4 linked regions of the Anolis sagrei genome follow. The protein of the gene in region 1 interacts with the protein of each later gene in a pairwise test. Links are inferred from orthologs where the notes say so. Each region holds a gene or a part of one and is shown in the gene's direction. Other genes may lie near its edges.

What was found.
Region 2: the proteins of TRIM54 (region 1) and MYO5B interact in binary tests that used the Homo sapiens proteins (3 or more experiments, as listed by UniProt). The two-hybrid records come from large-scale screens. The link is inferred for Anolis sagrei from reciprocal best matches to the Homo sapiens genes TRIM54 and MYO5B.
Region 3: the proteins of TRIM54 (region 1) and SPG21 interact in binary tests that used the Homo sapiens proteins (3 or more experiments, as listed by UniProt). The two-hybrid records come from large-scale screens. The link is inferred for Anolis sagrei from reciprocal best matches to the Homo sapiens genes TRIM54 and SPG21.
Region 4: the proteins of TRIM54 (region 1) and MFAP1 interact in binary tests that used the Homo sapiens proteins (3 or more experiments, as listed by UniProt). The two-hybrid records come from large-scale screens. The link is inferred for Anolis sagrei from reciprocal best matches to the Homo sapiens genes TRIM54 and MFAP1.

What each region holds. Positions count from the first base shown.
Region 1 is NC_090021.1:828,337-836,555, reverse strand, and holds the start of TRIM54 (tripartite motif-containing protein 54), read left to right. Parts: upstream 1-4,788; 5' UTR 4,789-4,791; coding exon 4,792-5,253; intron 5,254-7,827; coding exon 7,828-8,000; intron 8,001-8,219. UniProt on the Homo sapiens protein: May bind and stabilize microtubules during myotubes formation.
Region 2 is NC_090022.1:287,337,687-287,345,430, forward strand, and holds the start of MYO5B (unconventional myosin-Vb), read left to right. Parts: upstream 1-4,313; 5' UTR 4,314-4,782; coding exon 4,783-4,809; intron 4,810-7,744. UniProt on the Homo sapiens protein: May be involved in vesicular trafficking via its association with the CART complex. The CART complex is necessary for efficient transferrin receptor recycling but not for EGFR degradation.
Region 3 is NC_090029.1:18,381,675-18,389,728, reverse strand, and holds the start of SPG21 (maspardin), read left to right. Parts: upstream 1-4,853; 5' UTR 4,854-4,994; intron 4,995-5,039; exon of another isoform or gene 5,040-5,166; intron 5,167-7,489; exon of another isoform or gene 7,490-7,596; intron 7,597-7,673; 5' UTR 7,674-7,702; coding exon 7,703-7,765; intron 7,766-8,054. Other genes in the region: CLPX (ATP-dependent Clp protease ATP-binding subunit clpX-like, mitochondrial), read right to left, coding at 1,134-1,203. UniProt on the Homo sapiens protein: May play a role as a negative regulatory factor in CD4-dependent T-cell activation.
Region 4 is NC_090029.1:22,573,465-22,581,115, reverse strand, and holds the start of MFAP1 (microfibrillar-associated protein 1), read left to right. Parts: upstream 1-4,457; 5' UTR 4,458-4,461; coding exon 4,462-4,888; intron 4,889-6,595; coding exon 6,596-6,945; intron 6,946-7,651. UniProt on the Homo sapiens protein: Involved in pre-mRNA splicing as a component of the spliceosome.

The sequences.
Region 1 (8,219 bases):
GAAAAAGCAGGGGATAAATAACAACAACAATTATAAAGAGAAACAGGGAATAAATAAACAACAACAACAATAATAAAGAGAAAATGGAATAAATAAACAACAATAAAAGTCTCTTTTGCGGAGAGAAAAAGCGGGGGATAAATAAACAACAACAACAGTAATAAAGAGAAAAAGGGAATAAACAACAACAATAAAAGTCTCATTTGCAGAGAGAAAAAGGGAATAAAACAACAACAATAATAAAGAGAAAAAAGGAATAAATAAACAAGAACCACAACAATAAAAGTCTCCTTTGCAGAGAGAAAAAGGGAATAAATAACAATAATAAAGAGAAAAAGGGAATAAACAACAACAATAAAAGTCTCATTTGCAGAGAGAAAAAGGGAATAAAACAACAATAATAAAGAGAAAAAGGGAATAAACAACAACAACAATAATAAAAGTCTCCTTTACGGAGAGAAAAAGTGGGGGATAAACAAACAACAACAATAATAAAGAGAAAAAGGGAATAAATAAACAACCACAATAATAAAGGGAATAAATAAACAACACCCACAATAATAAAAGTCTCCTTTGCGGAGAGAAAAGGGGAATAAAACAACAACAATAATAAAGAGAAAAAGGAAATAAATAACAACAACAACAATAAAAGTCTTTTTTGTGGAGAGAGAAAACGGGGGATAAATAAACAACAACAATAAAAGTCCTTTGCGGAGAGAAAAAGGGAATAAATAACAACAACAATAATACAGAGAAAAAGGGAATAAACAAACAACAATAAAAGTCTCATTTGCAGAGAGAAAAAGTGGGGGATAAATAAACAACAATAATAAAAATCTCCTTTGCGGAGAGAAAAAGCGGAGGGTAAACAAACAACAACAATATGTTGTGTGGTTTTTGGACTATATGGCCATGTTCTTCCAAACTACAGGAAAGGAGATTCCTCCTGAAAATTAGGAAGAACTTCCTGACTGTGAGAGCTGTTCAGCAGTGGAACTCTCTGTCCTGGAGTGTGGTGGAGGGTTTGAAGCAGAGGCTGGATGGCTATCTGTTGGGGGTGCTTTAAATGCAAATTTCCTGCTTCTTGTCAGAATGAGGTTGGACTGGATGGCCCACGAGGTCTCTTCCAACTCTATGATTCTAGCAGCATTTTCTCTTGACATTTTGGCTGCACCTCAGGCCCTTTCCTCAGGCTGTATGGCCATGCTCTAGCAGCATTTTCTCCTGACATTTTGGCTGCACCTCAGGCCCTTTCCTTTTCCCCCTCAGCCGCTTAAGCGGCTGAGGGGGAAAAGGAAGGGGCCTGAGGTGCAGCCAAAATGTCAGGAGAAAATGCTGCTAGAGCATGGCCATACAGCCCAGCAGCCGGACCCCTGGACGCTGCAGGACGTGAGGGGAAAAGCAAGGAGGCCATTGTGTCCTGACAGAGGAAAGGGGGAGGGGTAAAGTGACCCCCCCCCCCTCCATTCACCTGGAAAGAATCCTCTGGCTATTTATTGTTGTCTCTCTCCTGCTGCCCGGCCTTTTTCGGTGCTGCGGTCACTTTGGCGGCTGGTGCTATTTTGGAATGAAGGAAGCCATGCTGGCCAGCCCCCCCCCCCAAAAAAAATTCACATTGGTCAACAAAGCCCACGTCTGCGTTTCTGGCAGTGCTCAGGACCCCCTGCATTTCATGCCAAGAGTTTCTCAACCTGGGGGTGTCAGAGGGGTCACCAAAGACCATCAGAAAACACAGTATTTTCTGTTGGTCATGGGGGTTCTGTGTGGGAAGTTTGGTCCAATTCTATCATTTGTGAGGTTCAGAATGCTTTTTGATTGTAGGTGAACTATAAATCCCAGCAACTACAACTCCCAAATGGCAATGTCTATTTTCCCCAAACTCCGGCAGTGTTCACATTTGGACATATTGAGTATTCGTGCCAAGTTTGGTCCAGATCCATCACTGTTTGAGTCCACAGTGCTCTCTGGATGTAGGTGAACTACAACTCCCAAACTCAAGGTCAGTGCCAACCAAACTCTTCCAGGATTTTCTGTTTGGTCATGGGAGTTCTGTCTACCAAGTTTGGTTCAATTCCATTGCTGGTGGAGTTCAGAATGCTCTGTGATTGTAGGTGAACTATAAATCCCAGCAATTACAACTCCCAAATGTCAAGGTCTATTTTCCCCAAACTCCACCAGTGCTCACATTTGGGCATATTGAGTATTCGTGCCAAGTTTGGTCCAGATCCATCACTGTTTGAGTCCACAGTGCTCTCTGGATGTAGGTGAACTACAACTCCAAAACCAAAGGACACTGCCCACCAAACTCTTCCAGTATTTTCAGTTGGTCATGGGGGTTCTGTGTGCCAAGTTTGGTTCAATTCCATCATTGATGGAGTTCAGAATGCTCTTTGATTGTAGGTGAACTATAAATCCCAGCAACTACAACTCCGAAATGACAAAATCAATTTTTTGAGTGAAGGACATACATTGGGTTATTAGGTGTCTTGTGTCTAAATTTGATGTCAATTCGTCCAGTGGTTTTTGAGTTCTGTTAATCCCACAAACGAACATTACATTAAAGCCCAACTGCTCATTGGAGGGAAGGATAGTAGAGGCCAAGATGGCCTCATCATGAGAAGAAAGGAAAGCTTGGAGAAGACAATGATGCTGGGGAAAATGGAAAGAAAAGGGAAGAGCGGCCGACCAAGAGCAAGGTGGAGGGATGGCATCCCTGAAGTGACTGGATTGACCTTGAAGGAGCTGGGGGTGGTGACGGCTGACAGGGAGCTCTGGCATGGGGTGGTCCATGAAGTCAGCTACAGAAGGCAATGATGCTGGGGAAAATGGAAGGAAAAAGGAAGAGGGGCCGACCAAGGGCACAGTGGGTGGATGGCGTCCTTGAAGGGACAGGATTGACCTTGAAGGAGCTGGGGGTGGTGACGGCCGACAGGGAGCTCTGGCATGGGGTGGTCCATGAGGTCACCTAGAGAAGACAATGATGCTGGGGAAAATGGAAGGAAAAAGGAAGAGGGGCCAACCAAGGGCAAGATGGATGGATGGATGGCATCCTTGACGGGACTGGCTTGACCTTGAAGGGGCTGGGGTGGTGACGGCCGACAGGGAGCTCTGGCATGGGCTGGTCCAGGAGGTCACCTAGAGAAGACAATGATGTTTGGGAAAATGGAAGGAAAAAGGAAGAGGGGCCAACCAAGGGCACGGTGGGTGGATGGCGTCCTTGAAGTGACTGGATTGACCTTGAAGGAGCTGGGGGTGGTGACGGCCGACAGGGAGCTCTGGCGTGGGCTGGTCCAGGAGGTCACGAAGAGTCGGAGACGACTGAACGAATGAACAACAACAATCACCACCACCAGCATCCATCCCCAGGAGCAGAATTCAAAGGGATCTCCAGATGTTGGGCCAAAATTAACACCGTGAAGTTCAACAGGGACACACGCAAGAGACTCCACGTAAGCAGAAAAAAGGAAACGCAAAGAGACAGAATGGAGGACGATGATGCAGTGCGTGGGGAAAGATCTGGGAGTCCTCGAGAGGAAGGAGAACATGAGCCAGATGTTGTAGGTCTTCTGAATGAGCACAGACTACATTGTCATCAGCATATTGGAATTCTGTAACAGATGTTGTAGGTCTTCTTCTGAAGGTGCACAGACAACGTTATCATCAGCATATTGGAGTTCTATAACAGATGTTGTATATCTTCTGAATGCACACAGTCTACATTTTCATCAGCATATTGGAAGTCTGTAACAGATGTTGTAGGTCTTCTTCTTCTCGAGTTATGCTCATTTTTTTTGGAAGTATTGACACACCAAGCTCAAAAGGTTGCCCATCATTGTTGTAGGTCTTCTTCTGAATGCGCACAGACTACATTGTCATCAGCATATTGGAAGTCTGTAACATATGTTGTAGGTCTTCCGAATGAGCACAGTCTACATTTTCATCAGCATATTGCAGTTCTATAACAGATGTTGTAGGTCTTCTTCTGAATGCGCACAGACTACATTGTCATCAGCATATTGGAATTCTGTAACAGATTTTGTAGGTCTTCTGAATGCGCACAGACTACATTATCATCAGCATATTGGAGTTCTATAAAAGATGTTGTATATCTTCTGAATGCACACAGTCTACATTTTCATCAGCATATTGGAATTCTATAACAGATGTTGTAGGTCTTCTTCTGAATAAGCATAGACTGCATTGTCATCAGCATATTGGAGTTCTATAACAGATGTTGTATATCTTCTGAATGCACACAGTCTACATTTTCATCAGCATATTGGAATTCTGTAGCAGATGATGTAGGTCTTCTTCCGAATGAGCACAGACAACATTGTCATCAGCATATTGGAATTCTGTAACAGATGTTGTATATCTTCTGAATGAGGACAGTCTACATTGTCATCAGCATATTGGAATTCTGTAACAGATGTTGTATATCTTCTGAATGAGGACAGTCTACATTGTCATCAGCATATTGGAATTCTGTAACAGATGTTGTAGGTCTTCTTCTGAATGCGCAGAGACAACGTTGTCATCAGCATATTGGAGTTCTAAAACTCTTGGACTAAAAACTCCTCCTCTGGACTATGAATCTATTAGAGTTAGTGCTGTGTGCCAGAGGCGGGAAGGGGGTTCAGTGAGGTCTCCCCCTCTGGGGTGTTTCCAGCAGAGGCTGGATGTCCATCTGTTGGGGGTGCTTTGACTGTGCTTTTCCTGCATGGCAGAGGGTTGGCCTAGATCCCCATGAGGAGAGGCCTAGGATTCCATGGCCCTATTAATAGAAAGCACATGTTGATGATTATGATGATTGGTGGGTGGGGGTCTGCACCAGAGGGGTGTCGTCGTCACGCTCCCCTTGAGGCGAGTGACTCAGCGCCACCTGATGCCGCCGACAGCTGGACCCTCGGTGCCCCACCCTTCCTGGATGACCTCGAGCAGGAATGGGAGCCTGGCATGCCTTGGGGGTCACGTGGGAGGCTAAAAATACCCCCCAGAGAAGGGCCAGAGGAGAAGAAGGAGAGTGGAGGGAGACCCTTCTCGTCCTCCTTCTCGTCCTTCTGCTTCTGCTTTGGGATGAACTTCCCGGGGGGCTTCAAGTCCTTGACCGGGGGGAGCCCCTCGGGCCAGAGCATGGACAGCCTGGAGAAGCAGCTCATCTGCCCCATCTGCCTGGAGATGTTCTCCAAGCCTGTGGTCATCTTGCCCTGCCAGCACAACCTCTGCCGAAAGTGCGCCAACGACGTCTTCCAGGTGCGGTCAAGGGGTCAGTGGTCAAGGGAACACCCCCCAAATGTTTAGGGTCTTAACTGGGTTTAAGGCAGGCCTGGGCCAACTTCGGCCCTCCCTCCAGGTGTTTTGGACTCCAACTCCCACCATTCCTAACAGCCTACCGGCTGTTAGGAATGGTGGGAGTTGGAGTCCAAAACACCTGGAGGGAAGGCCGAAGTTGGCCCAGACCTGCCTTAAGGCTTTTCCTTGTTCAATGTATTGTCGAAGGCTTTCATGGCTGGAATCACTGGGTTGTTGTAGGTTTTTCTGGGCTATATGGCCATGTTCTGGAGGCAATTTTTCTCCTGACGTTTTGCCTGCATCTATGGCAAGCATCCTCAGAGGTAGTGAGGTCTGTTGGAACTAGGAAAATAGGTTTATATATCTGTGGAATAATGTCCAGGGTGGGACAAAGGACTCTTGTCTGCTGGAGCTAGGTGGGAATGTTTCAGCTGATCACCTTGATTTGCATTCAATGGCTTGGAAGCGCCTGGGGGGAACCTTTTGTTGAGAGTGATTTTATGTGCCTGGTTGTTTCTCGTGGCTTGACTCTCATGGCTTCTTCTCGGTGGTCTTGCAGCTCTTCTGATGTCTGTGGTGGAGTATGCTGCACCTCTCAACAGGAGATTTCCCAGGCTCAGGCAGGCCTTCAAATGCTAATGAAGCAGAGAGGAAACAACCAGGCACAGCTTAACACCTCTCAGCAGGAGATTTTTCCCAGGCTCAGGCTCATTAGCATTTCACCTTCAAATGCTAATGAAGGTGAAACATTCACACCTAGCTCTAGCAAGGAAGAGCTCCTTGCCCCACCCCAGCCATTCCACAGATATATAAACCCATTGTCCTATTTCCAACAGACCTCACTCCCTCTGAGGATGCTTGCCATAGATGCAGGCGAAACGTCAGGAGAGAATGCCTCTAGAACATGGCCATATAGCCCGAAAAAACCTACAAGAACCTTGTGATTCCGGCCATGAAAGCCTTCGACAATACAATGAAGATGATGATGAGGATGATGATGATGATGACCCCGCCCTCCCCTGAATCGACGCCCTCCACCTTTATCTGGCCTATTTATTATTTTTTGAAACACAACAAGACGAGTACACAGTAAACAAGATCACTTTGCTGGTCTCTGTATGCAAGGCACACAGAGGCTATTTAACATTCCAGCTTTTTCATGATGGTATTCTGGCCACCAGGGGAGCTGTTGCTTCACCGTCCATTTGTGACACTGATGGAGTACTTCCTCATTCTTTGCATGCTTGCTGGAGATTTTTATGGAGTCGTAAATTAGTTAAGTTAGCCTCCCCGCACAATCTGAGGATGCTTGCCAAAGATGCAGGCGAAACATTAAATCCAGTCGTGCCTGACTCTGGGACTCTGGTGCTCATCTCCATTTCTAAGCTGAAGAGCCGACGTTGTCTGCAGACACCTCCAAAGCCACTGGCAGGACTGCCCTTACCTTCTCGCCAGAGCGGTACCTATTGTTCGACTCACATTTGTATGTTTTCAAATTGCTAGGCTGGCAGAAGCTGGGGCTAACAGTGGGAGCTCACCCCAGCCCCCAGATTCAAAGCTGTGACCTTTCGATCAGCATGTTCAGCAGCTCAGCGGTTTAACCGTCTGCACCACAAGGGGGGATCCCTTCTATGATTCTATGGTTCATCAAAGCCCAGGCAAACTCTATGAAAAGACCCTCACTGACTGACTTTCCCAACTTCCTGGCTGCTCAGTGCTATTCAGGCTGGCTAATTGCAACATCCACGCTTGCTTCTTTCTCTTGCCATGAACATCATTCCACAAATAGATATACACCCCACTTGCCTCACTTCCAACAAACTTTTGAAGATGCCATGAGCCACAGGTGCAGGCGAAACATCAGGAGAGAATCCTATTGTTACATATGGTGTGATCCATAATACCCCCAAGCACAGCAGTTTCTGGCGTGGAGAGGGAGTCCCCTAAGCAGAGGCCAGGTGGATGGCCGTCTGTTGGGGGGGATCGGGTGGTGTCACCTTTGAAGATGCCATGAGCCACAGGTGCAGGTGAAACATCAGGAGAGCATCCTATTGTTACATATCGTGCGATCCATAATACCCCCAAGCACAGCAGTTCCTGGCGTGGAGAGGGAGTCCCCTAAGCAGAGGCCAGGTGGATGGCCGTCTGTTGGGATGGTTCGGGTGGTGTCACCTTTGAAGATGCCATGAGCCACAGGTGCAGGTGAAACATCAGGAGAGCATCCTATTGTTACATATTGTGCGATCCATAATACCCCCAAGCACAGCAGTTCCTGGCATGGAGAGGGATTCCCCTAAGCAGAGGCCAGGTGGATGGCCGTCTGTTGGGGGGGATCAGGTGGTGTCCCTTCCAAGGCTAGGGCTCTAGTCAAGGGGCAGCTCAGCAACCCTCTTGGTCCGCCTGTCTTGCCAAGGAGCACCTTGTTTAGAACCCTAGTGTTACACTAGCCTTGCAAGGGACTCCACCCGATCCCTCCCGACAGAGGGCCAGCCCCTTTTCCCCTGCTCCTTCTGACCCGCTTTCCTCCCCCGGCAGGCGTCGAACCCGCTGTGGCAGTCGCGCGGCTCGGCTTCGGTGTCGTCGGGGGGCCGGTTCCGGTGCCCGTCCTGCCGCCACGAGGTGGTCCTGGACCGGCACGGCGTCTACGGGCTGCAGCGGAACCTCCTGGTCGAGAACATCATCGACATCTACAAGCAGGAGTCCGCCCGGTAAGAGACGAGCCATTTGTCCTGCCCACTGTGTCCGATTTCATGCTATGCCAATTTGCTTTATTTATTTTACAAGTGTCTAGGACTGTGTGATGTATCAGCGAATAATGTGTGCAGATCCCAGTAAGGTGGCCTTCTGCAGCTGGCAGATGTGCTTAAGTGCAGGCCAAGGTCTTGAGGCACTGCACCCAGTGTGCCGATCACCACTGGGACCACCTT
Region 2 (7,744 bases), on another chromosome or scaffold:
GTGCCAAGTTTGGTCCAGTGAATGAAAATACAACCTGCATATCAAATATTTACATTAAAATTCATAACAACAGCAAAATTACAATTCTGAAGTAGCAATGAAAATAATTTTATGTTTGGGGACTACCACAATTTTAGGAACTATATTAAAGGCCCATGATATTAGGAAGGTTGAGGACCACTGGTCTGGTCCTACAAAGACACACTAACTTCACACAGTTGAAGTTAGGAAACATATAAACTTGTATCATTGCATCAAAAATGAATCCTACAGAGTAACAAACTTACATATTTATTTATTTTGCATATTTGTATCCTATCCTCACTCTCGAGGGGGGAGTCCGGGCAGCTTCACAACAGGCAGCCATTCAATGCCATCACTCTAACTTACAAAAAAAGAGTTATAATTAAAATAATTTGTTAAAAACAATTATTGACACATTTATTTAAAATCACACAAGTACAACATCACAATCCAGGTCAATCATAATCAAGGTCATAGTCCTTGTATCCATCACAAAACACAGCATGGCTTCTCCAACTCCCAAAATAGAGAGCCAACATGTATCCTAAAATACACCCAGTTATACTCTTACCGGGTGTGGTCCAAACCTCCTGACCTTAATTAGCACCTGCATACAGTGATCACCAGCATGAGGAAGAAACCAGGCACAGATTAACAACTCCCAGCAACAGATTTTCCCAGACTCAGGCAGGCCTTCAAATGCTAATGAAGGTGATTAGCTAACATTCACACCTAACTGCAGCAGGGAAGAGCTCCCTGCCCCACCCCAACCATTCCACAGATATATAAACCCATTGTACTAATTGCAACCAGACCCTCTGAGGATGCTTGCCATAGATGCAGGCGAAACGTCAGGAGAAATGCCTCTAGAACATGGCCATATAGCCCGAAAAAACCCACAAGAACTGAATGAGTTTTTTTCCTTAACACATATATCTATTCCAACCTTGGTACTGATCCTTTCAAAACTCACCCCGTTTTCAGTATACCTTAATATGTTCTAATCAATTTTTTTTAGACTGTTGGTGTGCTACCAATGTTCATGCTTCCATCCTCAGAGTCTAATCCATGTTTTTGTTTGAAATGTTCAGCATAGAAGTTAAACAGATAGGCCGATAGGTCTATTAATGGCTATTAAGTATGATTGCATAATGAACCTCTATATTTAAAGACACTGTACCTCTCAAGTGAGAAGCATGACTCAAAGGCAAGCTTGTTGGAGACCTCCTGGTGACCAATGTTGGAAGCATGATGCTTGGTTAGATGGAATTTTGGTCTAATCCATTTTGTTATATTTTAGGCGGCTTTTCCTAACATAGGTTGAGCTACCATACCAACCTGCTACATTCTGGGTTGTCAGTGGGCCTACTGAGTAAGAGATGATGGAAACTAGCCCAGCACAAATACTAGCCAGATTTCCAAATATTGTTCAATGTCAGGATTACTGAAGGTATGCATGTATGGTTTTTAAATGTGTTTCTATATGATTAAGAATGGTGTTAATATGTATTCAAGATGGATTCTGTTATGTTCAATTATGTGTTGGAATTGTTGTTGTAAGAGACAGAGAGGTACAGAGAGAAGAGACCTTGACAGAAGTTAGATAACATGTTTCTCTGCTGGGAAGAAAAAGGGAGTTTCCAGCTTACAGCCAGAGAGCCTGATAAGCAGATGTTCCGAGACTGTACTGAAGCTGTGCTTTGTAGTTCCTGATTTTGCCCGCTTAGATGTAGACGTGTATTGAAATGTACTTAGCAAACTTTGTTATTTTAAAACTGGAAAACTGCAGAGTCCTGGAATTTTTGGAGTCCTGTGTCTGTTTGATCTAGCACCTCTTCCGCTGCGCATACACCCCCCAAATTTTAACTCTGATAGTTCAGAGGCATCATGATGAACAGGGGCAGTTTTGTGCCTAGGTGTAACGTCCTGTAGTTGATGGTAGTTGGCGTCATGCATAGCAGTTGGTGATGGGTAAAAGAAGATGATGACTGCTGCAAAGGGATAGAAGGGGTTAATCTCAGTCCTGCGTTCTAAAGGTCAGAGTAATCTATCTGTAAGAACTCACAAGCGGCTGAAATCCAAACAGCTGGTAAAATGCAACTTAAGAAGGCACCTTCAGAACCTCTATTGTTTGTAACTTGGGGACTGCCTGGGTAAGTAGCAACACTGATCCCTGGTTAAGTCGACCCACTCCCCCTGAAGACGCAGGTTCGCAGCTTGGGTGTGATCTTGGACTCATCGCTGAGCCTGGAACCCCAGGTTTCAGCGGTGACGAGGGGAGCATTCGCACAGTTAAAACTAGTGCGCCAGCTGCGCCTGTACCTTAGGAAGCCTGACTTGGCCACGGTAGTCCATGCTCTAGTCACATCCCGTTTAGACTACTGCAACGCTCTCTACGTGGGGTTGCCTCTGAAGACTGCTTGGAAGCTTCAAATGGTCCAACGATCAGCAGCCAGGATGCTAACAGGAGCGGCACTCAGGGAGCACACCACTCCACTGCTTCGCCAGCTCCACTGGCTGCCAATTTGCTACTGGGCACAATTCAAAGTGCTGGCTTTAGCCTTTAAAGCCCTAAACGGTTCTGGCCCGACCTACGTGTCTGAATGCGTCTCCTCCTATGAACCAGTTAGGACATTAAGATCGTCTGGGGAGGCCCTGCTCTCGATCCCGCCGGCTTCACAAGCATGCCTGGCGGGGATGAGAGACAGGGCCTTCTCAGTGGTGGCCCCTCGGCTATGGAACGCCCTTCCTGCAGATATTAGATCGACCCCCTCCTTGCTGGCATTACGGAGGAAAGTAAAGACCTGGCTGTTTGAACAGGCATTCGACTAAGCAGTGTGATTGATTGACTATCGGAACACGGAATATCGGATAACGGGTTTGGATTCTGATTTCATTGATGAGACCTGATGGATTTGTTATATTGATGTAGTGATATATTGATGCTTAATGATTTGTGATGCTATTGCTTTTAAATGCTTAATGATTTTGTATTGTGTATACCTAAATTGTTGTAAACCGCTCTGAGTCGCCTAAGGGCTGAGAAGAGCGGTATACAAATAAAGTAAATAAATAAATAAATAAATTTTGGGCCATTCTGAAAGGACAATTTCTGGAGACACATACAGGGATTTCTTTGCTGCCTCCAGGTGTTGCTTGCCTCCTTTGCAATTCCTCCAGGGAGGGATCCTATTGGCTGTTCATTCGTTCAGTCGTCTCCGACTCTTTGTGACCTCATGGACCAGCCCACGGCAGAGCTCCCTGTCGGCCGTCACCACCCCCAGCTCCTTCAAGGTCAGTCCAGTCACTTCAAGGATGCCATCCATCCATCTTGCTCTTGGTCGGCCCCTCTTCCTTTTCCCTTCCACTTTCCCCAGCATAATTGTCTTCTCTAGGCTTTGCTGTCTCCTCATGATGTGGCCAAAGTACTTCAACTTTGTCTCTAGTATCCTTCCCTCCAGTGAGCAGTCGGGCTTTATTTCCTGGAGGATGGACTGGTTGGATCTTCTCGCAGTCCAAGGCACTCTCAGCACTTTCCTCCAACACCACAGCTCAAAAGCATCGATCTTCCTTCGCTCAGCCTTCCCTAAGGTCCAGCTCTCACATCCGTAGGTGACTACAGGGAATACCATGGCTTTGACTAGGCGGGTCTTTGTTGCCAGTCTGATGTCTCTACTCTTCACTATTTTATCGAGATTGGACATTGCTCTCCTCCCAAGAAGTAAGCGTCTTCTGATTTCCTGGCCACAGTCTGCATCTGCAGTCATCTTTGCACCTAGAAATACAAAGTCTGTCACGGCCTCCACATTTTCTCCCTCTATTTTCCAGTTGTCAATCATTCTTGTTGCCATAATCTTGTTTTTTTTTTTTTGATGTTTAGCTGCAACCCGGCTTTTGCGCTTTCTTCTTTCACCTTGATTAGAAGGCTCCTCAGCTCCTCCTCGCTTTCGGCCATCAGAGTGATGTCATCTGCATATCTGAGATTGTTAATGTTTCTTCCAGCAATTTTCACCCCAGCTTTGCATTCATCCAGCCCCACACATCGCATGATGTGTTCTGCATACAAGTTAAAAAGGTTGGGTGAGAGGATGCAGCCTTGCCAGACGCCTTTCCCAATCTTGAACCAGTCTGTTGTTCCGTGGTCAGTTCAGTCCTATTGGCTACAGCCCAAAAAGTATATATAATTTCTCCAAACTTGGAATTTGCTGCGGGGTTCCCTTTGGAGGGAAGGAGAGAGGGAGGGAAGTTTCCTCGTCCAGCAGAGGGCGAAGCCAGCCTTGCTTCCTTCCTCCCTTCCTTCCTGAAGCCAAAGGCAGCCGGTGCGCCAAAGGAGCCGAGGCACCTGCAAAGCCCGGCAAACCAGGCGGGGAGGGAGCGCCCCATTGCGCACGCTTGCTTCCCTACCTGCCTTCCCTTTTACCTGGCGAGGGAGCGGCCAGGCAGCCCCGCCCCGTCCCTCCCCCTTCCGCTTCTCCCTCCCTTTGCCTTTCGTCCAGTAAGTTTTCCCCGGGAGACGGGCAAAGGTCGGGCGCTTCCCTCCGGCTTTGCACCGCCCGGCTCTCTCCTCTCCTCTCTCTTTTCCTCTCCTCTCCTCTGCCCAAGCGCCGCACTTCCTGGGCTCTTCCTCCTCCTCCTCCTCCTCCTTCTCCCGGGCCGGACTTTGGATTGTACCGAAGGGCTTTTCCTCCTCTTTTTGGGGCGCCTTTTTTGGATGCTTCGAGGACTGGGCTCGCCTTGCGCACCGCCCGCCAGGAGGACATGTCGGTGGCGGAGCTCTACACCAAGGTAAGGCCAAGGCCAGGCGTTTGGGGGATAGATACGTGTAGGGCAGCCTTTCCCCTTCCCATTCCCCCCCTCTGTGGGTTTCCCAGGGCTATTTGGGGGGCCTGGGAGCCCTTCTTTCCATGCCCCCCCTCCCCTTCCCGGCACCGCCGCAGATGGAGTTCCCTCCACTCTCCACTACTTTCTTTCTCTGCGCCTCACTTTTACGCTTTGCTTTGGACTTCAAGACAAGGTGCATCCACACTGTAGGGTTAATGCAGTTTGGCACCACTTGAACTCCCATGCCTCGAGACAGTGGGAGCCTGGGAGCTGCAGTTTTACAAGGTCTTCTCTGCCAAAGAGTGCAAGTGCCCCCCTAACTAAACTGCAACCTCCAGGATCCCCATAACATTCAGCCTTTCTCTGCTCAAGAGTGCAGGTGCTTCACTGACTGAACTCCAGGATCCCATAACAGGGAAAGAGGTGCCAAACTCCATTCATTCTGCAGTGTAGATGTGCTCCCAGTGTTCGTGAGGATCTCCGGATTCCTTTCAATGGGGATACAGAGTGAGGATCCCTTATCTGAAATGTTTAGAGCCAGAAGTGTCTTGGATTTTGGGATATTTTCATATCTATATAAATAAAAATGTAATGTTTGTTTGTGGGATTAGCAGAACTCAAAAACCGCTGGGCGAATTCACACCAAATTTGGACACAAGACACCTAACAACCCAATGTATGTCCTTCACTCAAAAAAAATTGATTTTGTCATTTGGGAGTTGTAGTTGCTGGGAATTATAGTTCACCTACAATCAAAGAGCATTCTGAACCCCAGCAACGATGGAATTGAACCAAACTTGGCACACAGTTCTCCCATTACAAACAGAAAATACTGGAAGGGTTTGGTGGGCAGTGTCCTTTGGTTTTGGAGTTGTAGTTCACCTAGATCCAGAGAACACTGTGGACTCAAACAGTGATGGATCTGGACCAAACTAGGCACGAATACTCAATATGCCCAAATGTGAACACTGGCAGAGTTTGGGGAAAATAGAATCTTGAGATTTGGGAGTTGTAGTTGCTGGGATTTGTAGTTCACCAACAATCACAGAGTATTCTGAACCCCACCAATGATAGAATTGGGCCTAACCTCCCACACAGAATCCCCATGACCACCAGAGTGGGCCACAGCAACGCGTGGCAGGGGACGGCTAGTATATAAATAAAAATGTAATGTATGTTTGTGGGATTAACATAACTCAAAAACCACTGGACGAATTGCCGCCAAATTTGGCCACAAGACACCTACTAACCCAAGGAGTGACCATCACTCAAAAATTGATTTTGTCATTTGGGAGTTGTAGTTTATTTATTTATTTACGACATTTATATGACGGCCTTCTCACCCCGAAGGGGACTCAGAGTGGCTTACAAGTAAAAAGTAAATACAATATATTATTATCATAGCACTATATTAATATTATATATTACATTGTGCTATAACATTATCCTGTAATATTATTAGTAATATTTATCGCAGAATAGTTGCGATGATTTATAGTTTACTTAAACAGTATTTCTTAAAATCAAAGAGCATTCTGAACTCCACCAAAGATGGAATTGAACCAAACTTGGCACACAGGACTCCCAGGACCAACAAAAACACTAGCAGGGTTTGGTGGACATTGACCTTGAGTTTGAGAGTGGTAGTTCACCCCTACATTCAGAGAGCACTGTGGACTCAAACAATGATGGATCTGCACCAAACTTGGCACGAATATTCCATATGCCCAAATATGAACACAGATGGAGTTTGGGAGAAATAGACTTTAACATTTAGGAGTTGTAGTTACTGGGATTTATAGTTCACCTACAATCAAAGAGCCCTCTTCACCAGGGCAAGAAAACGTAATCAAAGCCCTCCTGACAAAGAGCCACCCAGCCATAGATATAGATAGATATATATGATTCACACACAGGGAGATATAGTATCATAGATTTGAAAGGGACCCTAAAGAAAGACAATTATGTTGCATGTTCCAGAGTAGGCAAACCAGATACTCTCCACATCAACACTGACAAAGAAACAGGAAGAAATACTGTTTACCCACAAGCAGAAAGAAATTACATATATTAGAAACCAACACTTTCGAATTACTTTATTTTCCAGATCACCAGACTGGGCCACAGCAATGCGTGGCAGGGGACGGCTAGTCTATATAAATAAAAAGGTAATATTGGTTGATGGGATCAATATAACTCAAAAACCACTGGACAAATTGACACCAAATTTGGGCACAATACACATATCAGGGCAATGAGTGACCATCACTCATAAAAATACAGGAAAACACAGTAAAAGGGACTAAAAAAGCCAAAAAAAGCAAAAAGAAGCTACAGTGCATGTACAAAATGACTCCCCCTGGCAAACAAACACACAATAGCATATCCACATTCTCTTCTGGACTACAGTTCCCAGCATCTCCTAGACCAGGCCATTTAGGAGAGGAGGAGGATCCAAATGCCCTTTACATTTTTATTTATATACTAGCCGTCCCCTGCCACGTGTTGCTGTGGCCCACATGGGGGTTCTGTGTGGGAGGTTTGGCCCAATTCTATCACTGGTCAGGTTCAGAATGCTCTGTGATTGTAGGTGAACTATAAATCCCAGCAACTACAACTCCCAAATGTCAATGTCTATCTTCCCCAAACTCCACCAGTGTTCACATTTGGGCACATTGAGTATTCGTGTAGAGTTTGGTCCAGATCCATCATTGTTTGAGTGCTATCTGGATGTAGGTGAACTACAACTCTAAAACCAAAGGACACTGCCCACCAGTATTTTCTGTTGGTCATGGGAGAACTGTATGCCAAGTTTGGTTCAATTCCATCATTGGTGGTATTCAGAATATTCTTTGACTGTAGGTGAACTATAAATCCCAACAACTACAACTCCCAAATG
Region 3 (8,054 bases), on another chromosome or scaffold:
AAGTGTTTATAAATACCCAAGGGGGTGCCATAATAATAAAAATAATAAATGTATTTTTATACCCTGCCTTCATCTACCCAAAGGGACTCGAACGGCTTACATGGGGCCAAGTCCAACAATTAAAACATAACACATTAAAATGCCTATCAACAACATAATAATAAAGCAATATAACAAAATAAAAGCAACAACATTAAGCAGCATATAAAGCGAACATTCAAACCAACAACCAACTGCAAAGTTCAATGTCTTGTAATGGGGTGGGCGGACTGGGGTCACAATATTAAATAAATAGTTTTAAATAAATAAATAAAAAATAAATATTAGAGGATAGAGCTAATGAGTGAGGTGCAGATAGCATATAGCAGTGATAAATATAAGGACGATTTATCATTAAAGATTTGGATGAGAGATTTTTGTACATTAATAAATGGAGATTTTTGTACATTAAAAAATAAAGACGTCCCCTAAAAATAATGTATCTTTTGGAGCAAAAATGAATATAATACCCAGCCTTATTTTCATGGAAGAGGCACGGAAGCTGGCAATATTGGTTCATCTGGGAGAACAATATATATATATATATATATATATATATATATATATAATACTAATATAATGCTCAATCAACTACCAAACTCACACATTTTGTATTTTCTCTGTTTGTTTGCTTTGTTCTGTTAGAAATGTAATATAATTGACTGGTTGCCCTGACACGAGAAATAAATTAAATTAAATATAATGCTATGGTTATAATATATTATATTATATATACATATACTATTGATAATATTATAAAATAACAGAATATAAGACTAATAATAATACAGTACAATATATAATAATAGTCATATAACAATACCAATATATTAAATGCAACACTGCTGATAATATATATAATGATAATATTGTGTTATTATTGCAATGTTATTGATTGGGAACCGCTTTAAGCCTCCGTAGGGAGAGATAAAGCAGAATATAAATCAATCAATCAATCATCAGATCCATAACATGGAAGTTAACACAGGGTTAACACAGGGCTGTTAAAAACCTAAACAAGGGCCTTGAAAAGCTCGAAACCAGGAGTGAGGCCTAGCGCGCGGCTGAAGCCTCGGTCTCCGTTAGGGAGTTACCTCTTCGCGCCGAAGGGAGGGACGCGCTGAGGAGCCGTGCCGCCGCCGCGCAGGAACCGCAGGCCGCCATCTTGGCGCCGTCGTTCTTCCCACCTCAGAAGACCGAGACCCGGATGTAGCGTCACAGCCTCCGCGAAGAACGGCGGTGGGACCACAACTCCCGGCAGCCCCCGCGCCGAAGAGGCCGCGCTGATCAACCTCGAAGCGTACGATTTGCCTTCTGGGAAGGAGAGGCCAATGCACGAGAGGCGTGTGCGCAGGCGCAACTCACTATCTAGGAAGTCAGAGCTCTTCTTACGCGTTTCCCCTCTAGGTGGCGGGCCATCCTAGGGTCTATCTATTTTCCTATCTATCTATCAGTGCGATGCTACTCTGCTGCTGAGTATGCATGCTCAGTGTGGAACACATCTCACCACACTAAAACAGTAGATGTGGCTCTTAATGAGACATGCCGCATTATCATGGGATGTCTGCGCCCTACACCACTGGAGAAATTAGACTGCTTAGCCGGTATTGCACCACCTGACATCCGCCGGGAAGTAGCAGCCAATAGTGAAAGGACCAAGGCAGAGACATCTCCAGCTCATCCCCTGTTTGGGTATCAGCCAGCACGTCAACGACTTAAATCTAGAAATAGTTTTCTAAGATCTACAGAGACACTCGCTGGAACACCCCAGCAAGCGAGAGTCCAAAAGTGGCAGGCCCAAACCCAGCACCTCATTTCATGGGTGATACCAGATGAGAGACTCCCCCCTGGGCACACAGAGGACATGGCGACTTGGAAGGCGCTGAACAGACTGCGCTCTGGCACCACGAGATGCAGAGCCAATCTTAAGAAATGGGGCTACAGGGTGGAATCCTCGGCATGCGAGTGCGGAGAAGAACAAACTACTGACCACCTGCTGCAATGCACCCTGAGCCCTGGCACATGCACAATGGAGGACCTTCTTGCGGCAACACCAGAGGCACTCCAAGTGGCCAGATACTGGTCAAAGGACATTTAAACAACTACCAAATTTGCAAAATCTGTGTGGTTTTTTTCCTTTTTTCCCCTTTTCTTTTTAATCTCTGTGTTTGTTTTGCTCTGTTAGAATTGTAATACAATGGTTGCTGATGACACGATAAATAAATAAATATCAGTGCTTCTCAACCTGGGGTCCCCAGATGTTTTTGGCCTACAACTCCCAGAAATCCTAGCCGGTTTACCAGCTGTTGGGATTTCTGGGAGTTGAAGGCCAAAAACATCTGGGGACCCCAGGCTGAGAAGCACTGACTGATCATGGAACAACAGGCTGGTTCAATGTTGGGAAAGGCATATAGCGAGGTTGTATACACTCCCCCAACATATTTAACTTGCATGCAGAACACATCATGCGACCTGTGGGGCTTGACGAATGCAAGGCTGGGGTGAAAATTGCTGGAAGAAACATTAACAACCTCAGATATGCAGATGACACCACTCTGATGGCCGAAAGCAAGGAGGAGCTGAGGAGCCTTCTAATCAAGGTGAAAGAAGAAAGCGCAAAAGCTGGGTTGCAGCTCAACATAAAAAAGCCCCAAGATTATGGCAACAAGAATGATTGACAATTGGGAAATAGAGGGAGAAAACGTGGAGGCCGTGACAGACTTCATATTTCTAGGTGCAAAGATTACTGCAGACACAGACGGCAGCCAGGAAATCAGGTGACACTTACTTCTTGGGAGGAGAGCAATGTTCAATCTCGATAAAATAGTGAAGAGTTGAGACATTACACTGGCAACGAAGATCCACAGAGTTAAAGCAATGGTATTCCCCGTAGACACCTACAGATGTGAGAGCTGGATCTTAGGGAAGGCAGAGCGAAGGAAGAGAGATGCTTTCAAACTGTGGTGCTGGAGGAAAGTTCTGAGAGTGCCTTGGACTGCGAGAAGATCCAACCAGTCCATCCTCCAGGAAATAAAGCCCGACTACTCATTGGAGGGAAGGATAGTACAGACAAAGTTGAAGGACTTTAGCCACATTATGAGAAGAAAGGAAGGCTTTAGAGAAGACAATAATGCTGGGGAAAATGGAAGGAAAAGGGAAGAGGGGCCGACCAAGGGCAAGATGGATGGATGGGATCTTTGACATGACTGGATTGACCTTGAAGGAGCTGGGGGTGGTGACGGCTAACAGTGAGCTCTGGCATGGGCTGGTCCATGAGGTCACGAAGAGTCGGAAACCACTGAACGAATGAACAACATTTATTTCATAAAATTGATTTGGATTGCTTGGGGGCCCTCCCAACTCGAGGAATATCTATCTATTTGATTATTTATCTATTCTGCCTATCTTCCCATCTTATCTATCAGCTATTATAGGATGGACTGGATGGTCTTTGATGTGTCTTCCAACGCTAGGAATCTAGAGTTGTGCTATGCTAATAATATAATATATATAGATATAATCTTGATAATATTTTTTATTTATTTATCATATTAGGAGCAAACCATGGGTACAGTTGCAATGCATTTAAAAAACAAGTTTTTTTAAAAAAAAAACTTGGCATATTAAATGTTCTTTGACCAGTAGCTGGCCACTTGGAGTGCCTCTGATGTTCCTGCAAGAAGATTCTCCATTGTGCATGTGGCAGGGTTTCTGTGGTTTGCTCTTCTCCACACTCGCATGTTGTGGACTCCAGTTTGTGGCCCTATTTCTTAAGGTTGGCCCTGCATCTCGTGGTGCCAGAGTGCAGTCTGTTCAACGACTTTCAGCTCGGTTGTTGTGGTTTTTTTCCGGCTATATGGCCTTGTTCTAGAGGCATTCTCTCCTGACGTTTCGCCTGCATCTATGGCAAGCATCCTCAGAGGTAGCCACCTCACCTCACTACCTCTGAGGATGCTTGCCCTAGACACAGGCGAAACGTCAGGAGAGAATGCCTCTAGAACAGGGGTCCCCAAACCTTTTAAACAGAGGGCCAGGTCACAGTCCCTCAAACTGTTGGAGGGCCAGATTATAATTTGAAAAAAAAAACATGAATGAATGCACACTGCACATATCTTAATTGTAGTGCAAAAATACTTTAAAATGAAGAACAAATATTAACTTATTAGTATTTCAATGGGAAGGGTGGGCCTGCTTTTGGATGATGAGATAGGATTGTTGTTGTTGTGTGCTTTCAAGTCGTTTCAGACTTAGGTTGACCCAGAGCGAGGGCCGGGTAAATGACCTTGGAGGGCCGGATCCGGCCCCCGGGCCTTAGTTTGAGGACCCCTGCTCTAGAACATGGCCATATAGCCTGAAAAAACCTACAATCCAGTGATTCCAGCCACGAAAGTCTTCAACAACAGACTTTCAGCTCGTCCACTCTTCTGTGAGCTCAGGGGGGAGTTTCCTCATTTGGTATCAGCCATGGATTGAGGTTCCAGGCTTTAGCCTGCCACTTTTGGACTCTCGCTTACTGAGATGTTCCTGTGAGTATCTCTGTACATCTTTGTACTATTTCTTGATTTAAGGCGTTGGAGTGCTGGACTGGGAATGTCACTGCGTCAGGAGAGAATGTTTCTGGAACATGGCCAGAGAGTCCAGAAAACTCACAACAACCCAGCTTCTGCTGGTGGTGAAATCCCCTTTAAACTTCAAGGCTTTGTGCGCATGCGTGGCTGGAGCCTCCACGTGATTCTTCCCTGCGTCCCCTTCCCGCCCCTTTATGGGGAGCCCCGCCCACTCGGCTTTGTGACGTCCGCTGATTGGCTGGCGCCGCACACCTTTCGTCTCCGCCTACTTGGAGAGACCAGGAAGTAGGGACTGGAAGATACCATTCGAGCGGGAAAAGGGGAGGGACGGTGTGTTTGTTAAGGTGGTTTCGTCCACCCGCCCGTCTCGAAACGGAGGAAAACCTGGTAAGGATTGAAAAAGAGAGGAAGGGAGTGCCTTTGTTCAGGTTTTTAGGCAGTGGGTAAGCGAGAGACCCCAAATCATGCCTTTGGGGGAGCCTAAAGAAGAATGGTAGATCCCAGCTTGCCTCCCTTAGAGGAATGGCATGCCCCTGATAGGGAAGCTGGGCTGAGTCAGGTGCCTTGTTTGTTTGTTTGTCTGTCCCTGATCTTCACCTTCTTCCTGTTGGTTGTCATTATTTGCATTATGCATTTCATAAAATACATCATGTGTATATATATTCTGTAGGTTGTATGGATTTTTGCATATATTTTTATTGATCTTGAGTTATATGAAACCTGGAACTTAGGTATATTTCAGTGATGCTAATGATTGATATAGTATTTTAATGGGGTATTTCCCCCTGCATTTTATAATCTGGTTTCTGTGTACCTTTTATGTATTATATATTATACAATATAGTACAATATATTATATCATAATATAATATAATAATTGTATATTACATATTGCATGTAATATTACTAATAAGGTTGTACAATTATTGGTAATATTACAATATAATAATATATTGTACTAATATTGTGGTATGCTAATCCTCACTTTGAGACACTTTGAGAGTGTTTGAGGACCGGGACATCCGTAGGGATACCAAGGTGTTTGTTTATAAAGCTATTGTCCTCCCAACTCTGCTATACGCCTGCGAGACGTGGACTGTCTACAGATGTTACACGCAACTCCTAGAATGATTCAACCAGCATTGCCTCCAAAAAATCCTGCAAATCTCTTGGGAAGACAAGCGGACAAATGTCAGCGTGCTAGAAGAAGCAAAGACCACCAGCATTGAAGCGATGGTCCTCTGCCATTAACTCTGCTGGACTGGCCACGTTGTCCGGATGCCCGGCCACCTTCTCCCAAAGCAGTTGGTCTACTCTCAAGAATGGAAAACGAAATGTTGGAGGACAGGAAAAGAGATTTAAAGATGGGCTCAAAGCCAACCTTGAAAACTCTGGCATAGACACTGAGAACTGGGAAGCCCTGGCACTTGAGCTCTCCAGCTGGAGGTCAGCTGTGACTAGCAGTGCTGTAGAATTTGAAGAGGCACGAACGGAGGGTGAAAGAGAGAAACATGCCAAGAGGAAGGCGTATCAGGCCAACCCCGACTGGGACCGCCTTCCACTTGGAAACCAATGCCCTCACTGTGGGAGAACATGCAGAGCAAGAATAGGGCTCCACAGTCACCTACAGACCCATCGCTAGGACACCAATCTTGGAAGACAATCCTACTCGGATAACAAGAGATCGCCTAAGTAAGTAAATATGCTAATAATGCATAATGGTGTAACATTAGAAACTGTTGACCATTTCTGTTCCCTTGGCAGCCACCTCTCCATAAAAGTCAACATTGACACTGCTATACAGCACCACCTGAGCTCTGTGAGTACAGCATTCTTCCAAATAAAGCAGGTGCTTGTTTATAAAGCTATACGCCTGCAAAACGACTGTCTACAGACGCCACACTTACTTAGGCGATCGCTTGTAGCCCGAGGATGATGGTTCTCCAAGTGTAGTGTCTTGCCGGTGAGTCCGTAGGTGGCTGTTGAGCCCTATTCATGATCCGCATGTTTTCCCATAGTGAGGACATCAGTTTCTGTGTGGAAGGCGGTCCCGGTCAGGGGCCGCCTCTTGGCAGATTTCTCCCTTTCATCATTCATTCGTGCCTCTTCGAATTCTGCAGCACTGCTGGTTGCAGCTGATCTACAATTAGAGCGCTCAAGGACCAGGGCTTCCCAATTCTTGGTGTCTATGCCACAGTTTATAAAGTTGTCTTTAAGCCCATCTTTCAATCTCTTTTCCTGTCCACCAACTTTATGTTTCCCATTCTTGAGTTGGGAGTAGAATAACTGCTTTGGGAGACGGTGATTGTGCATTCGGACAATATGGCACTAAGTCCGGTGGAGTTGATGGCGTAGGAGTATCACTTCAGTGCTGGTGGTCTTTGCTTCTTCCAGCATGCTGATATTTGTCCACCTGTCTTCCCAAGCGATTTGGAGGCAACACTGATGGAATCGTTCCAGGAGTAGAAAGTGATGCCTGTAGACAGTCCACGTTTCGTAGGCATATAGCATATAGCGTATTTTGTTCCATAGTGTTATTGCAAATGGAAAGAGACCATGAGACGCTCACCGCTTTGGTAGTGAGATATACAGTTTTCTTGGGGACTTTGCAAAGAATGTAAATAATGTCCCATAATCCTGAAGTGGAGCCTTTGGGCTGGATTGTCAAGGATCCAAACCCTTTACTTTGTCTCCCATTTTTTGTGCAGCTTTCTTCAAGTGGAATTGTACAAGGCGCACAGCTGCAGTTTGCCTTATATATAATGTAATGCATGACTGGTTTCATAGGAATTGTTTGCCCTGCCAGTGTATTTCTTGCTTTCTGTTCTTCCTGCCACTTTGTACGTAACAGACACAAACGCCGTGTTTTCAAAATCACTTCCCCTTTCTAAACATTTCTCTCAAACCGAGCCAAAGGAGCACAGTTCGAAAGAGAAGATTAATCCACTGCTCAGAGCGGCGAGCAAGCTTTGCCTTGAATGAATCCATTGTACGTCTGAGTACCTTTTGTGTTTTTAGCTGAAACGCATGTTCTTTTAGACAGAAACGTCTCCCTTTATGTTTCAGGTGTTCCTCACTGTGGGCTCGCGACCATCATGGGAGAGATTAAAATCTCTCCGGACTATAACTGGTTCAGAAGTACGGTTCCTCTCAAAAAGGTAAGTTCAACCTCTAAATATAGGCTACATCAGGTCAATAGATGCAAGGAAGCTTCTGGCTGGGTGGAGTGGCCATCTAGTTGGGTGGAGTGGCCCAGATCAAGAAATAAAATGCCCCAGGGCAGCAGAACAGAGGCCACTTTGAGTTTCCTTTGGGGAGATAAAGCGGAGAATAATAATAATAATAATAATAATAATTATTATTATTATTATTATTATTATGATATCTCGGACTTGGCAATGTTTACATGGCCTAAAGAAGTGGAGCTTCTAGGATTTTTAGTATAAT
Region 4 (7,651 bases), on another chromosome or scaffold:
TAAATGTCACCTAAGAAGAACGTATCTGACAAAACCAGCTCCGCCAAAGCACTTGGCTCATTGCCCTCCTCCACACACAACTCCTCCTCCTCCTCCGTGGCTTTTCTCACTGTTCTTGCCTTTCCAAAGTTAAACCATAGGTCACTCAGCCATCTGACTTCCTCCCACACACAGCTTAAAATGCAAAAAGCAGGGCAAAACTTTTCAGGGCATCCAAAGGGCTAAAACTGCTATCGTTTAGAAAGTTAGTAATAGGAGTAAGTGTCCCTAATCAACATCCAAAAGGTGAACTGTTCTTCCAAACTTGCAAAAGTTTTAGAACAAAAAGAATTCATTTGATTCTAGATCCAAGCCACAGATCTAACACCTACATCTCATTCTGATCTTTAACCCAAATGCAAGATGGTTCTAAGATAAGTTTGCTTTCCAAGGGGCCAACCTTATTAGAAACTAGGCCAGGCCCTATTTTCAGAATTATGTATGCCAGGGAAAAAAAGGTTTAGGTGAGAATTAGCTTCGAAATGGCAACATCAAAGCTCTGCAAGTCTGCTAATCAATGGTCCAGGGGAAATTGAAAGTGAAAAAGTGAAGGCAATGCTATAAAAAAAGGGGGAAACAAACAAATGTGAATACATACGCATGTGACCATTTTTATGGCCAGATTGGAAGGGGAGATGACACAAGGAAAATGACCAGCCTGCTGTCCTCACAAGGCTCCCATGATGTTTGGACATAGCATTGACTCGCATGGGATCCAATGAGTGTTGTTGTTGTTTGGTGCCTTTGTGTTGTCACTGACTTATGGAGACTTCATCATGGGGTTTACTTGGCATGATTTGTTCAGAGGAGGTTTGCCCTTGTGGCTGAGAGAGTGCCCCAGCCTTTCACTCAGCCCACTGGAGGACCAAGTGATTCCAAGGAAGATCACCTTCTGGGAACTTAGGTCATTTTCTTTGGGACCTTCTGAGACAGCAACCTTTAACGCCTCTTTCTCCTGGCCTTCTTATCTCGCTGGCATTTTCCCTAATCCACAAAGTGATGCACCTGAGGACAATGTGTCCACCTCTCTGTTATTGTTTCAGTTCTCATTATGACTCCTCTGACAAAAGACTTCCAGGAGGGATATTCTCTGAATCCTTACTAGTGCAGGTCAGTGCTGCCCACCCATCTCCTCAATGCCACCTGAACATGGATAGAAGGCAGCCCTGTTCCCCTTTCTGATCCGACCTGCTCTTTCTGAGAACGTGCAAGGAGAAAACTCCATGTTCTTTTCCTGTGGCCAGCTCTGATCCATCCCTTGGGCACCTGGAGCCCCTGATGTGAGGAAGCCATGAGGCCAGGGGTCTGGTCAAGAATAGAATAAAATGACTTCATTGTCATTGTACATCATACAACAAAATTTAATGCCACCCCCCATACCCATTAAATGTGTATGATGACAAAAACAAAGCACCATTCTTCCACAGTGTGGAACCCTAGAATTTAAAAGAATCACAGCCCTGGGATAAAACCTCTTTCTCAGCCTATTTGTCCTTGTTTTGCTCATCCTATCCCACCTCTTCAGATGATAATAATTAGACGAAAAAGAAGAATATCCAGGGTGAGATGGATCCTTAAGAATATTCTGAGCTTTCTTAAGGCAGCTGGAAGTATGACATTGTTCCAAAGAGGAGAGAAAAAGGGAAACCCATAATACTCTGGGCAGGAGTGAGAAGTAACACTCTGGAATGCCTTCGTATCTCCCGCTGTGCAATTGGCAAACCGTATGCAGATGCAATAAGTTAGAACACTCTCTATAGCGCAGTGGTAGAAAAGTCAAAAGCAGTTTTCCATCCAATTGTTGGTTCCTTAAAAGTGTCAGATAAATGACCACACATGAGGGAGCACCCAGGGATGGCTCTACCATGAGGCTAAAGGAAGTGGTTGGATTATAGTTTGATACTGTTATTTTTAGATTATCTTGTCAATTCTTTAATCCGTGTGACAAAATAATTTGACTGACAAAATGCCATGGGCAAGTCATCTATATTAACTAATATGCATGTTCTAGTTGTAATTAAACATAATCCTGTACCCTGGAAACTAATATAACATTGCTCATAATTTTCCATCTTTCACCACAGTGAAACTGAGTAATTGAATTACACAGCTATATCTAACGGGTCATATGTTCAAGTGAAAAGTAGAACTTACTGCAGTTTTGTTTTGCTTTATAAAAGGAATGATAATATTAATATGAAAAATGCCTCTTAATCCAAGTGTTAACATATATTTATGTTAAAACATTTTTTTAATTCAATAAAGTTTGAAAAAGGCCTCCTGGTGGCACAGCGGGTTAAACCACTGAGCTGCTAAATTTGCTGACTGAAAGGTTGGCGGTTCGAATCCAGAGAGCAGTGAGCTCCTGCTGTTAGGCCCAGCTTCTGCCAACCTAGTAGTTTGAAAACATGTAAATGTGAGTAGATGAATAGGTACTGCTTCGACCCGAAGATAAAGGCGCTCCATGCATAATAATAATAATAATAATAATAACAATAATAATAATAATCTTTATTTATACCTCACATCTCCCCGAAGGGGACTAAGGGCAGCTAACATGAGGCCAAGCCTAAAGATACAATACAGCAAAATAAAGTGCATAATACAACAACAAAAATTACATCACAATAAAGTACATACAGTGGCAAAATAAAGTAAACAAAGCAAAATAGCATAATAGAAAATCGAACACAATGGGCAGGCCAAATGGACAAGATAAAATGATAAAACCTTGAATGAGGTAGGAGTAGAAAAAGTGTATTTGAGAGGAGCCCAAAAAGAACGAACAGTACGGTTAGGCCTTCAATTTAGGACGGGAGAAAGTGCATCATAAGGACAACACTGTAGATGGAACAGACAGAAATGGGATGAATGGTCACTCTCTAAAGGCACAACTGAAGAACCAGGTTTTCAGATCTTTCTTAAAGATTGCTAGAGTGGGGGCTTGCCTAATCTCACCAGGTAATGAGTTACAAAGATGAGCACCACTCCTGAATTGGACACGATTAGACTTAATGTCAAGGGAAAACCTTTACCTTTACTAGCGTTTGAAAACTGAAAAAGAAAAGTCTCAGATAATAATACAATCTCTGCTGGACTCCCTTAACCAAGGAAGCTGCAGTATGAACGCTGCCCTTGGTCTGGTCTTCCTGATCTTGACAATATAGCAGCCAAGTTTGTGGGACCAGAATTGCCTAAACAGCGGAGTGCAATGGGAGGGTGCATCTCCCTTGTAGAGTTGATGCAGTATAACTTGCTATGGCAGGAAGGCCTTGCAAAACTGTAACTCTTGGGACTCTATTGGTCCAACAAGTGACCTGGTGTCCAGCTGCATTTGTTCTGCATCTCTGCCCCTTTGCCACTGAGGCCCAGGCAAAGGGCCAGAGGCAACAGGCGAAGCATGTCATCAAAGCACAGGCTGCCCTTGGTTTCCTTGTTTGCACAGAGGCTCTCAAAGAGGGACCTAGTGAAGATAAACAACGCTTTATCAGAAGATAAACAAAGCTCCCCTTCTAGGCCCTTTAGGACAACAAACAACGTTAACTTCCCGTCTGTCAAGATGAAAGAAGGGGAAGAGAGGGTTGCATCATTAGCGTCTGCTCCAATGATGACACCAGGCATGGACAAACCTGGACCCTCCAGGTGTTTTGGACTTCAACTCCCACCATTCCTAACAGCCACAAGCTCTTTGGGCCCTACAGATGTTTTGGACTCCAACTCCCACCATTCCTAACAGCCTCAAGCTCTTTGGGCCCTCCAGGTGTTCTGGATTTGAACTCCCACAATTCCTAACAACCGCTCTTTGGGCCCTCCAGGTGTTTTGGACTCTAACTCCCACAATTCCTAACAGCCTCAGGCTCTTTGAGCTCTCCAGGTGTTTTGGACTTCAACTCCCACAATTCCTAACAGCCACAGGCTCTTTAGGCCCTCCAGGTGTTTTGGACTTCAACTCCCAGAATTCCTAACAGCATCAGGCTCTTTGGGCCCTCCAGGTGCTTTGGACTTCAAGTTCCACAATTCCAAACAGCTTTAAGTTCTTTGAGCCCTTCAGGTGTTTCGGACTTCAACTCCCACCATTCCTAACAGCCACAGGCTCTTTGGGCCCTCCAGGTGTTTTGGACTTCAACACCCACCATTCCTAACAGCCTCAGGCTCTTTGAACCCTCCAGGTGTTTTGGACTTGAACTTCAACCATTCCTAACAGCCTCAGGCTCTTTGAACCCTCCAGGTGTTTTGGACTTCAACTCCCATCATTCCTAACAGCCTCAGGTCCCTTCCTTTCCCCCCTCAGCCGCTTAAGGAAAAGGAAAGGGCCTGAGGCTGTTAGGAATGGTGGGAGTTGGAGTCCAAAGCACCTGGAGGACCCAAGTTGGTCCAGGCCTGTTCTTAAGCAGCTGAGAGGGGAAAGGAGGGTCCCTGAGGATGTTAGGAATTGTGGGATGTGGAGTCCAAAACACCTGGAGGGCCCAAGTTGGTCCAGGCCTGGATTACACTCTCTCAGCCTCAGAGGAAATCCCCGTCTGCCACCTTTTCCGGAAGAAGTCTGGCCCAGGAAGACGCTTCCGCGCCGACAGAGGGCGCAGACGGTATGAGTCGCTCTATCCAGCTCCGCTCGTTGGTCCTCTTTGGGAGCGGAAGTCACGCGCTCCCTCTGGGCTTGTTTACCTACGAAGCTTCCGGTTCCGGGTTTCCCCGCGAGAGGCGAAGCGAGAGGGATCCGCCGTGCCTAGTGTTGCCTCTGCCGCTTCTACGGCCTCTACCGCCGCCATGTCGGGCTCCAGCAGCGCCCTCATGAAGCAGCCGCCCATCCAGTCCACGGCGGGGGCCGTCCCCGTCCGAAATGAGAAAGGTGAGAACGTGGCCATATTCGGGCCCCGCTGAGGCCTGCTTCTTCTGCGCCTCCTCCTTTCTGGTCTCCTTCTTTGAACAGAGGCCGAGTGGCCACCTGTCGTGAGAGCTTTGATCGTGTCTTCCGTCCTGGCCGAAGGGGGTTGGACTGAAGCACCTTTAAAAATCCCTTCCTATTCTTATTCTTTGCTGTTACTATGTTGTCGAAGGCTTTCATGGCCGGAATTACTGGGGTGCTGTGAGTTTTCTGGTCTGCATGGCCATGTTCCAGAAGCATTCTCTCCTGACGTTTCGCCTGCATCTATGGCAGGCATCCTCAGAAGTTGTGAGGTCTGTTGGAAACTAGGGTTATATATCTGTGGAATGTCTAGGATGGGAGAAAGAACGCTTGTCTGTTTGAAGCAGGTGTGAATGTTCCAATGGGCCACCTTGATTAGCATTTAATGGCCTAGCAGTTTTCAAGGTGTGGCTTCTTACTGCCTGGGGGCATCCTTCGTTGAGAGATTATTAGCTTTTTTGTCATGTCAGGAGCGACTTGCGAAACTGCAAGTCGCTTCTGGTGTGAGAGAATTGGCCATATGCAAGGACATTGCCCAGGAGATGCCCAGATGTTTTGGTGGTTTACCATCCATGTGGGAGGCTTCTCTCATGTCCCCGCATTCAAACCTGTGACCTGTTGGTCTTCAGTCCTGCTGGCATAGGGGTTTAACCCATTGCCTCTTGTAAGCTGCACCGAGTCCTTCAGGAGATTTTTTTTTGTCGTGTAAGGAGTGACTCCTGGTGTGAGAGAATTGGCCATCTGCAAGGACGTTGCCCAGGGGACGCCTGGATGATTTGATGTTTTTATCATCCTTGTGGGAGGCTTCTCTCATGTCCCCGCATGAGGAGCTGGAGCTGATAGAGGGAGCTCATCCGCCTCTCCCCGGATTCAAACCTGTGACCTGTCAGTCTTCAGTCCTGCCTGCACAGGGGTTTAACCCACTGCACCACCGGGGGCTTCTTCCTTCGGGAGATGGTAGCGGGGTACAAATAAAGCTTTATTATTATTATTATTATTATTATTATTGTGCCACCAGGGGCTCCAGGTGATTAGCTGTCCCTGATTGTTTCTTGTCCGGAGCTCCCCAGTCTTTATTTAATAAAAAAATCTGGCTACCAGTATTACAAATCTCTAAAATCATAATAAAGACAGGGGATCCTTGAGCCGTGAGGAGGGGCGGGTAAGAATTATTATTATTATTATTATTATTATTATTATTATTATGTTCCCGGTGGTACCCATGTTAGATATTTTGTAGTCCTATTTATTAGGAAGAGTTGTTTGTTTGGTTTTGGTTGTTATGAATGGACCCATTAGAAAACATATTGCTGCATAATGGGATCATTTCTAAAATGGTTCAGGTGAAGGATGCAACCCTCACATGGTCCACGTTTGGCCAGCTGTAATTCCCATGCCCTCCTTCAGTTGTGAGTGGGGCTCAGGCAGCACCCCTGAAGGGCCTTGATTTCAGTTCCCATCATGCACTATTGTGCCTCCCTAATGTCACCAGTATTTTAAGCTGGTTGTGCAAGTATGCGTGCTGAGTTTGTGGAAAAATAGATAAACACATATGCTGATACATATGTTAACAAATATACAAATATTTTGACCTTTATTGCATAGATAGATGATTTGGTGACCCTTTCTTTTTCTGCTTCATATCTTCAGGGGAGATCTCCATGGAGAAGGTGAAGGTGAAGCGCTATGTCTCGGGGAAGCGCCCAGACTATGCGCCCATGGAATCCTCGGATGAGGAGGAGGAGGAATTCCAGTTCATCAAGAAGGCCAAGGAGCAGGAGCAAGAGCCCGAGGAGCAGGAGGAGGAGCTGGCCAGCGACCCCCGCCTGCGCCGCCTCCAGAACCGCATCTCAGAGGACGTAGAGGAGAGGTTGGCGCGGCACCGAAAGATTGTGGAGCCGGAGGTGATAGGGGAGAGCGACTCCGAAGTGGAGGGAGAGGACTGGCATGTGGAGCGAGAGGACACCAGCGAGGAGGAAGAGGAGGAAGTGGATGACGAGGTACAGGGCAGCTTGGGTTGTGCTGTATGCTCTTTCTTGGCAGAAGAAACTCTGATCTTTTGTGTGTGAGTGTGTATACACACACATACATATACACTTACTTGAGTACCTGGCTTTGCCCAGGTTATTTAAAAAAATCAATGTTTTAATTGTACAAAATGCATAAGGTTGTGGATGAGCTGCAACTCATATTGTGCCAGGATAACCTTGAAAACCTCCATCAGTACTTCAAGTTTGTTATGTTGGGCAAGTTTGCTCTAGATGCATTATTGGTAGGGTTCAATGTGCTCTCTGGCTGTAGAGTAAACTACAATTCCCACTATGGTGAGTCAGTCCCCTCAAAACTCCTACAGTAGGTTCAGTTGCTCATGGGGGTTCTGTGTACCAAGTTTGGTCCAGGTCCATCATTGATGGAGGTCACAGTTTCTCTGGTTATGGGTGAACTACAACTCCCAGAAAGGAAGGTCAGTTCCTCCCAAACCTCTCCAGTAATCAAATTTTGGCATATCAGGTATGTATGCTGAGTTTGGTCCATTGGTGTTTGGGTTCACAGTGCTCTCTGCATGTAGGTGAACTACAACTCCCCCAAGTCATGGTGGATTTTCCTCAAATAACTCCAGTATGTTTTACTGGTCATGGAGGTTCTGTGTGCCAAGCTCGGTCCAAGAAGGGGGAAGGGGAAAGCAGGAAATAAAGAAAAAGGTTA